Oryctolagus cuniculus: one gene and its partner. The protein of the gene in region 1 interacts with the protein of each later gene in a biochemical or structural test. Links are inferred from orthologs where the notes say so. Each region holds a gene or a part of one and is shown in the gene's direction. Other genes may lie near its edges.

Evidence for each region. The genes of interacting proteins can lie anywhere in the genome.
Region 2: the proteins of MAGI1 (region 1) and ADRB1 interact in a test that uses a peptide from one of them, tested with the Homo sapiens proteins (2 studies listed by IntAct). The link is inferred for Oryctolagus cuniculus from reciprocal best matches to the Homo sapiens genes MAGI1 and ADRB1.

Annotation. Positions count from the first base shown.
Region 1 is NC_091441.1:84,208,523-84,212,169, forward strand, and holds part of MAGI1 (membrane-associated guanylate kinase, WW and PDZ domain-containing protein 1), read left to right. Parts: intron 1-1,229; coding exon 1,230-1,433; intron 1,434-3,647. UniProt on the Homo sapiens protein: Plays a role in coupling actin fibers to cell junctions in endothelial cells, via its interaction with AMOTL2 and CDH5. May regulate acid-induced ASIC3 currents by modulating its expression at the cell surface.
Region 2 is NC_091446.1:16,246,920-16,250,666, reverse strand, and holds the start of ADRB1 (beta-1 adrenergic receptor), read left to right. Parts: upstream 1-1,265; 5' UTR 1,266-1,528; intron 1,529-1,604; 5' UTR 1,605-1,792; intron 1,793-2,216; 5' UTR 2,217-2,298; coding exon 2,299-3,747. UniProt on the Homo sapiens protein: Beta-adrenergic receptors mediate the catecholamine-induced activation of adenylate cyclase through the action of G proteins. This receptor binds epinephrine and norepinephrine with approximately equal affinity.

The DNA of each region.
Region 1 (3,647 bases):
CCAGTTTGCAGAAATTCTAAGGAATTAAAGTGTATTTTCCTATACAGCTTACCCTCAAGGTCTAGACTTACCCTCAAGGTGGAAGAACCTATTTAGATTCTAGGTCTTCCATGTTAATTTTATTTTCCTTTCCAAAAGGTGGCTCAACTGCGTAACTGATTTCATGGTCCCCCAGATTGGCAAATTCTCAAAATAAGTGAACCTGCATGAACAGCTTTCAAACTCAGTGTATGGTCAGCTAGAAACTTAACGCCAGGCTGCAGAGCCAGTTGCCCACCACTCTCTAGAAGTTAACAATAGCATTGAGTGCCTCAGAGTGCTCACACAATCAGCCTTCCTCTTCAGATGCCCTTTTCCTGGTTTTTCTTAATGTGGGCATATGGTAACTGGTGATGAAAAGGACGATCATGAGAGGGAAAGGGTTGGGGAATTATTCGAACCTTACTGTGAATCAGGTACTTGATTTTCATCTTCCCTTAAGGTTATCTTTGCGAGGCAGGAGCAAGATTTCAGAGGTGATGAGAGCCAATCCAGCCCTACCTTGGAAGCACCCAGGATGGGCTGATTGAGCAAAGATCCTGAAAGGAAAAGTGAGGTTCAACGTTAGGTGTTCTCTTGGTGCATCTGTTGTCATGATGCCCTTTGCCTAAAGCTTTGGAGAGAAGGTACCAAGTGCCAGTGTTTGCCCATCAGGTGTTCGCAGATGGAATTTTCTGTGCTAGCCGACTCTCATGCCTCACCACAGAACCAGGGATTGTTTTTCTAAAGGGAAAAAGAACTAAACATTGGCAGAAGCTTGCACAACAGCTGGCAAAAATGAAGTGATGGGAACACACAATGAGTGAAGGCAGCCAGCCTCCCTCTGGGTTTCACATTGGCAGTCCCAAAATAAGCTGGCGCTGAGTTATTTAGGGGCTCTTGAGAGAATTTCCGAAGTTGCCAGATTTCCCAAATTTTGTAATTGCTGTGAAGAGAGAAGCTGGGGTTTTCCGTCCATGTTGAATCAGGAAAGACTGCAGCCGTGATGTCTGGTTTCGGGGACGCACTCCTTATTAGCCAGGAGTTCGCCAATGTTCGGACCATGGGCGCCGAGCTCTCCTTTGAATAACATTTGCTTAATGCTTTAATTAATTAACACTTAACCTTCTCTTTCCCTTTTCAACCCTTTTTCTCCTCCCTTCACTATATTCCCACGTAACTTTAAAAACAATTAAAACTCGATATCAAAGCAGGCAATGCATGTGTGGCTATGCCTCACAAAATAGGTCGGATTATTGAGGGGAGCCCCGCTGACCGCTGTGGCAAGCTGAAAGTAGGAGACCGGATCTTGGCAGTAAATGGATGTTCCATCACCAACAAATCCCATTCAGACATTGTCAACCTAATCAAGGAAGCAGGAAACACGGTTACCCTTCGCATCATTCCTGGGGATGGTAAAGTATACTAAAGCCTACCTTTTATCCCTCCCCCTCTCCCTCTCTCTCCCCCCCGCTTCTTCCCTTTCTCTTTGTGTGTGTGTCTCTCCAGGTCTCTCTCTCATTAGTGTTAATGTAATTGGATAGTGTTGACATAGAAGCAGCTCTACCCACTCCTCACTAAACATACCCATCAAACAAACATGAACCATTGTTACTAAACTATAGCTCACCTTCTTATTTAATTAATCCTCTAGTCCCATGACCCTTACTTACTGCGGATGCCAAAGTTGCATAAATTCTTCAGCTCTCTCCCATTTATTTTGGTTTTGATGTTCAATAGAATAGTTTCAGTGCAGGTAGGAAATATCACTTGATGTTCTCTCTAGAAATCAGATATGGATTTTTTTAAACAATAAGCTAAAATTGAGCTATATAATATGATGACATCACAAAACCTAGTTAATGGCAAGGCAGAGCCAATATTATGTTTTTTTTTCTTTTTTCTGAATGAATGAATTATAATAGTTTGTATTTAATAGGAGCGTCTTAGGGTTTATGCCTACTTGATTTGTTCCAAATGTATAGAGAAAGAATTAAATATATATATTTTCAATACATTTTGTCTGTTAATCCAGGTAGGTGCTCTTTTGCTTGAGTGGTTAATTCAGACTTGGGGTTCTTTTGCATTTGTGGAATTCTACCTCCCAGGGAACATTTGGCTTCATCTGCAGTGGGTGCCAATAACATCCAGTTGGTCAGACCACATCTTTTCCCATAGAAATGTTATGCAGCACAAAATAGCAATATTCATCCTCTTATTCAAATCTAATAAAAATGAAGCTATAAGTATTGATTCCTTGAAGAATTAAGCCCTGAATGTTGACCTTCATATTAAGATGACTTTGTCCTCGGGAGAAAAGTAATACTCGTCCCAAAGTGTTCACTTTTTTTCATTCTTGCTATAGATATTATAAAATAAAATTCTCAAAGTATGATTTCCTCAAGAGGAAAATGTGGTTTATATGGATACTGTGATAAAAAGTCTATGCTGAGGATCTGTAGAAGGAGAAGATCAGTGAAAGTTATTCAGCAAATGAATAATTTTGTATATTAGTTTTAAGAAAATGAGCCTTATAGTTCAAAATTGAGTGGTCTAATCAGGACTTTCCAGGAATTTACTTTCAGAATAAATATTTGAAAGTTGTTGATTTCAAGAACAAAAAACTTTGTCAAAAATAGCACACTGGTGGTGAAGGGAAAATGCATATTCTTGAATGGTGGTCTGCTTCTCCCTCCTCCTGCTAAGTTGTGGATAGGAACTTATGGTGTGTTCTGGGGCCCTTCCACCAACTCACCACTCCGGAAAGTTATTACCCTGTACAGAAGCAATTGCAAGATGAGAGACTATAGATTCCTAATGGAACAAATGAAGGAAATCAGAAAAATAAAGCAAGAACTGGTTGAGAGCGCCACATTTACTCTGTAAATTTAGATACATTTTTTCTATGTGCCATGGAGAGACTTCAAAAACAAAGTCAGAAGAACTGGGTCTGTTCTAGTCAGGAGCTTGAAATCGGGAGAGACATGAATATGCAAAAGCAGCTTATACTGAAGCGCTCGTGCGCGCACACGTGCACACGCGCACACACACACATTACATTTGACTTAATCAGGTATGATGGAAAATATTTATGAAAACTTGAACACCAGTTGGAAAACGGGCATATTTTTTTAACCTCTAGTACTTAAAAATATAAAATTCAGGTAGGCATCTCGTGTGCTGCCTTGGTTAGGACAAAGTGAACATGAAGTAGGTGTAATAAAGTGAAGGAGTGATTTTTTTTTTTTAAGGCAACACATGGTCTGCTGTGGTTGTGATCTCATTCAGACTTTTTCAGGAGATGGTTGTTGTGAAAATTAAACTCTCCACCAGTCACTTTATAACTGTCAGATGGCCGGTAAAGGGAATCAGGTCTGGCAAAGGGTGGACATGGGTTGCACATATTTTAAAAGGAGCTGAGAATTGCCATCTTGGAAATTGGAGTCGAGGCAGAGGAGTTAGATTGGTGGAGGGAAAATCTTGCTGAATCCGCTTCCATTCTGAAGATTTGTTGGATGTGTTTGCTTGTAGGATGAGAGGGAGGTGATCTCTGCATTAGGGACTTCCTGTTTCCTTTCAAACATTGATTATAATATTTACTTCATCAGGTCACTCGAAGATGATTTGTT
Region 2 (3,747 bases), on another chromosome or scaffold:
GGTGTCTCTGAATGAGTAGGGGAGAGAGCCAGGAGAGAGGTTTCCGGCCATGCTGATGCCCAGGACGTTCGTGCAAGTAACCACACAGTGAAGTCACCTGCACCCGGCTTCTGCGCCAGCCCCTGCACCCACAGTCAGGCCTTCTCGCCGTGTTGCGCCCTGCGCCCTGGCCCTGTGCGGGCACTTGAGGTTGACACACTCTATTCCAGTAGCAGCACTTGGCAGGAGGATTGCGCCGGGTAGACAGCAGCTTTCCCCACACTCCCTGCACCCCACCCAGCACTCAGAGCCCTTTCCTGGGCAGCATCAATTTCCACTCCACCCAATCCCTTGGCTATTTTAATACCACCCCTTAGCTCCCCCTCTCACCGGGCCAAAGGGAGGACTTGCAAGGAGTGGAGTCACTAAGGGCCCGGTCTCCTTCCTCCCTCTTTCCAGCTCCTCTCTTCCTGACTCCCCCACATCAACCTCCCCAAGTTGGCAAAACTGGGCTGAGTCCAGGGCAGGGGTGAATAAACAAATTAATCACTCCCGGGTTGTAGGAATGCTTCGATGATCATGCTTAGGCCTAAAGCAAATTCATGTGTTTGCATTTCTCTAGTCTCAAGAAGCTGGTGCAAACGGTCTGACGTCTGCACACGTAACAAGCATTCCTTTTTGTTCGCCTCTCTCTGGCAAGGTAGGAGCACGGTTTTGGGCCGTGGTGGATGCTCTTTCTAGATGCTGTTCTTTTTATTCTAACGCCGTAAAGATGTGTGAGCGTTATATAACACGTTCATGATGATCGGGAGCTGTTTACTTCACAAGGATCTAATTAAAGGTTTTTTGTTTATTTTCAGGCCTGAGCTAAGTTCCTTACCAGGGCCAAATTAGAGAAAGGGCTTGCTTCCCTCTGCCCTGTGTGCTCCTGGCCCCACCATTCCCCCTCTCCTCCATATAATCCACCTACAACTAGGTTAACAACCCTCTAACCCTTAAATGAACCCATTTGCCAACTCAGAAACCACTGGTATAACTTTAAATGCTTTGGGGTTTTAATCCCCTTGAGGATTTATGGTTTTTTTCTCTCTCTCTCTCATCCCTTCAAAACTAACCCCAGAGTTGCAAGAATCTGGGAACTTGGGTAAAGGAACAAACCGCCACCCAGACCAAAAAATCCAAAATCCCAGTTCATTGCTTCAACCAAAACTGTCAGTGCCTCAGAGTCTGCAATCCACACTGCCCTGAGTATAAAAACCTGCGTGCAATAACTCACAAAATGCAGGTGTTGTGACTGAATGTGGGAAGCCTAAAGCGTCAGTGGAGGTGGTCTGTCTGCGTGCGCGTTAACATGCGTGTTTCCCTAGCCTCTCCCCTCACGGCGTGGACACACACTGTTGCATCACGCGCAGGGGCTAGGAAGTGTGTGTTTTTCCAGCTCAGCCTCCGCGTTGGCTGCTGGATGCAGCAGCCTTCGCCCCTGCTACATCTCCTGCACCCGAAGTACAACAGACGCTTCCTCGCAAGCGCCGCACCCGCGCAGAGACAGGTGCGCGGTTTGCTCCCGCAACGCGCTGTGCTGCCAAGTTTCCTCTCCCTGCTAACACCCACCTCCGATCTCGCAGGGCTGGCGCGACGCAGGTTGGCCCGGTGCCCCCTTGGCGGAGGAAGGACTCTACACACCCAAGAACCAATCTCCTCCAACCCTGGCGGACAAGACCGCTCGAGGCGCCCAGGAGCCGTGAGGATGTCAACGTTCGCCGCCCCCTAAGGGAGCCGGCGCCCAGTGCTGCGGGGAATCCGGACAACGGAGGTAGAGGGGATGCGGGGGTGGGCAGAGCGGGGCAGCGGGAGGGAGCCGAGCGCGGGAGGGGGCGGGGACGCGGCCGGGAGCCGGGCGCCCTAGGCGGCGCAGGGGAACGGGGCGCTGGAGCGGGCGGGCGCAGGAAAGGGAGCGCTCGGCGGAACCCGCGGGCGCCCGAGAGGCGCTGGCTGGACGCTCTGCCCCGACTCCCCCGAGCCGCTCAATCGCCGGTAGGAGGGGGTGCGGGGAGTCGGGGTAGCAGGGAGTGGGGAGGCAGAGAAGGGGGCGTGCCCTCGCCCCGATTGGCTGCAGGAGCCTGACGCCAGGCCCCGGGGGCCGGCTCGGGAGGTGGGAACGGGGGGTGGGTGCTGGGTGCCGGGGCCGCGGGCCCCGCGCGCTCAGAAACATGCTGAGGTCCCGGCGGCTCTGCCAGCAGCGGCAGCGGCCCCAGCAGCAGCGGCGGCGGCGGCGGCGGCGACAGCGCTCGGCGGCTGCGGGGAGGGCGCCCGGAGCCGATGCCTCGGGCTCCGCGCCGCAGCTGCCCTGACCTGGCCGCGACCTCCGACAGCGCGCCCCGCCGGCACGGCCTCTCGGAGGGCTCCCCAGCCACGGCCCAGCTCCGCCACACCCCCCGCCCCCGGCCTCCGCAGCTCGGGATGAGCGCGGGGGCGCTCGCCCTGGGCGCCTCCGAGCCCTGCAACCTGTCGTCCGCCGCGCCACTGCCCGACGGCGCGGCCACGGCGGCGCGGCTGCTGGTGCCCGCGTCGCCGCCCGCCTCGCTGTTGCCTCCCGCCAGCGAGGGCCCCGCGCTGCTGTCGCAGCAGTGGACGGCTGGCATGGGCCTGCTTATGGCGCTCGTGGTGCTGCTCATCGTGGCGGGCAACGTGCTGGTGATCGTGGCCATAGCGAAGACACCGCGGCTGCAGACGCTCACCAACCTGTTCATCATGTCCCTGGCCAGCGCCGACCTGGTCATGGGGCTGCTGGTGGTGCCCTTCGGGGCCACCATCGTGGTGTGGGGCCGCTGGGAGTATGGCTCCTTCTTCTGCGAGCTCTGGACCTCGGTGGACGTGCTCTGTGTGACGGCCAGCATCGAGACCCTGTGTGTCATTGCCCTAGACCGCTACCTCGCCATCACGTCGCCCTTCCGCTACCAGAGCCTGCTGACGCGCGCGCGGGCGCGGGCCCTCGTGTGCACCGTGTGGGCCATCTCGGCGCTCGTGTCCTTCCTGCCCATCCTCATGCACTGGTGGCGGGCCGAGGGCGACGAGGCGCGCCGCTGCTACAACGACCCCAAGTGCTGCGACTTTGTCACCAACCGGGCGTACGCCATCGCCTCGTCCGTGGTCTCCTTCTACGTGCCGCTGTGCGTCATGGCCTTCGTGTACCTGCGGGTGTTCCGAGAGGCGCAGAAGCAGGTGAAGAAGATCGACAGCTGTGAGCGCCGCTTCCTCAGCGGCCCCGCGCCCGAGCCAGGGCCCCCGCGCCCGGACCCCGGCTCCAGCCCCGGCTCCGGCTCCGCGGCCGCGCTGGCCAACGGGCGCCACAGCAAGCGGCGGCCGTCGCGCCTCGTGGCCCTGCGCGAGCAGAAAGCGCTCAAGACGCTGGGCATCATCATGGGCGTGTTCACGCTCTGCTGGCTACCGTTCTTCCTGGCCAACGTGGTGAAGGCCTTCCACCGCGACCTGGTGCCCGACCGCCTCTTCGTCTTCTTCAACTGGCTCGGCTACGCCAACTCGGCCTTCAACCCCATCATCTACTGCCGCAGCCCCGACTTCCGCAAGGCCTTCCAGCGCCTGCTCTGCTGCGCGCGCCGGGCCGCCCGCGGGTGCCATGCGAACCCCCACGCCCGGCCGCGCGCCTCGGGCTGCCTCGCGCGCGCCGGACCGCCACCGTCGCCCGGGGCAGCCTCGGACGAGGAGGACGACGACGTCGGGGCCACGCCACCCGCGCGCCTGTTGGAT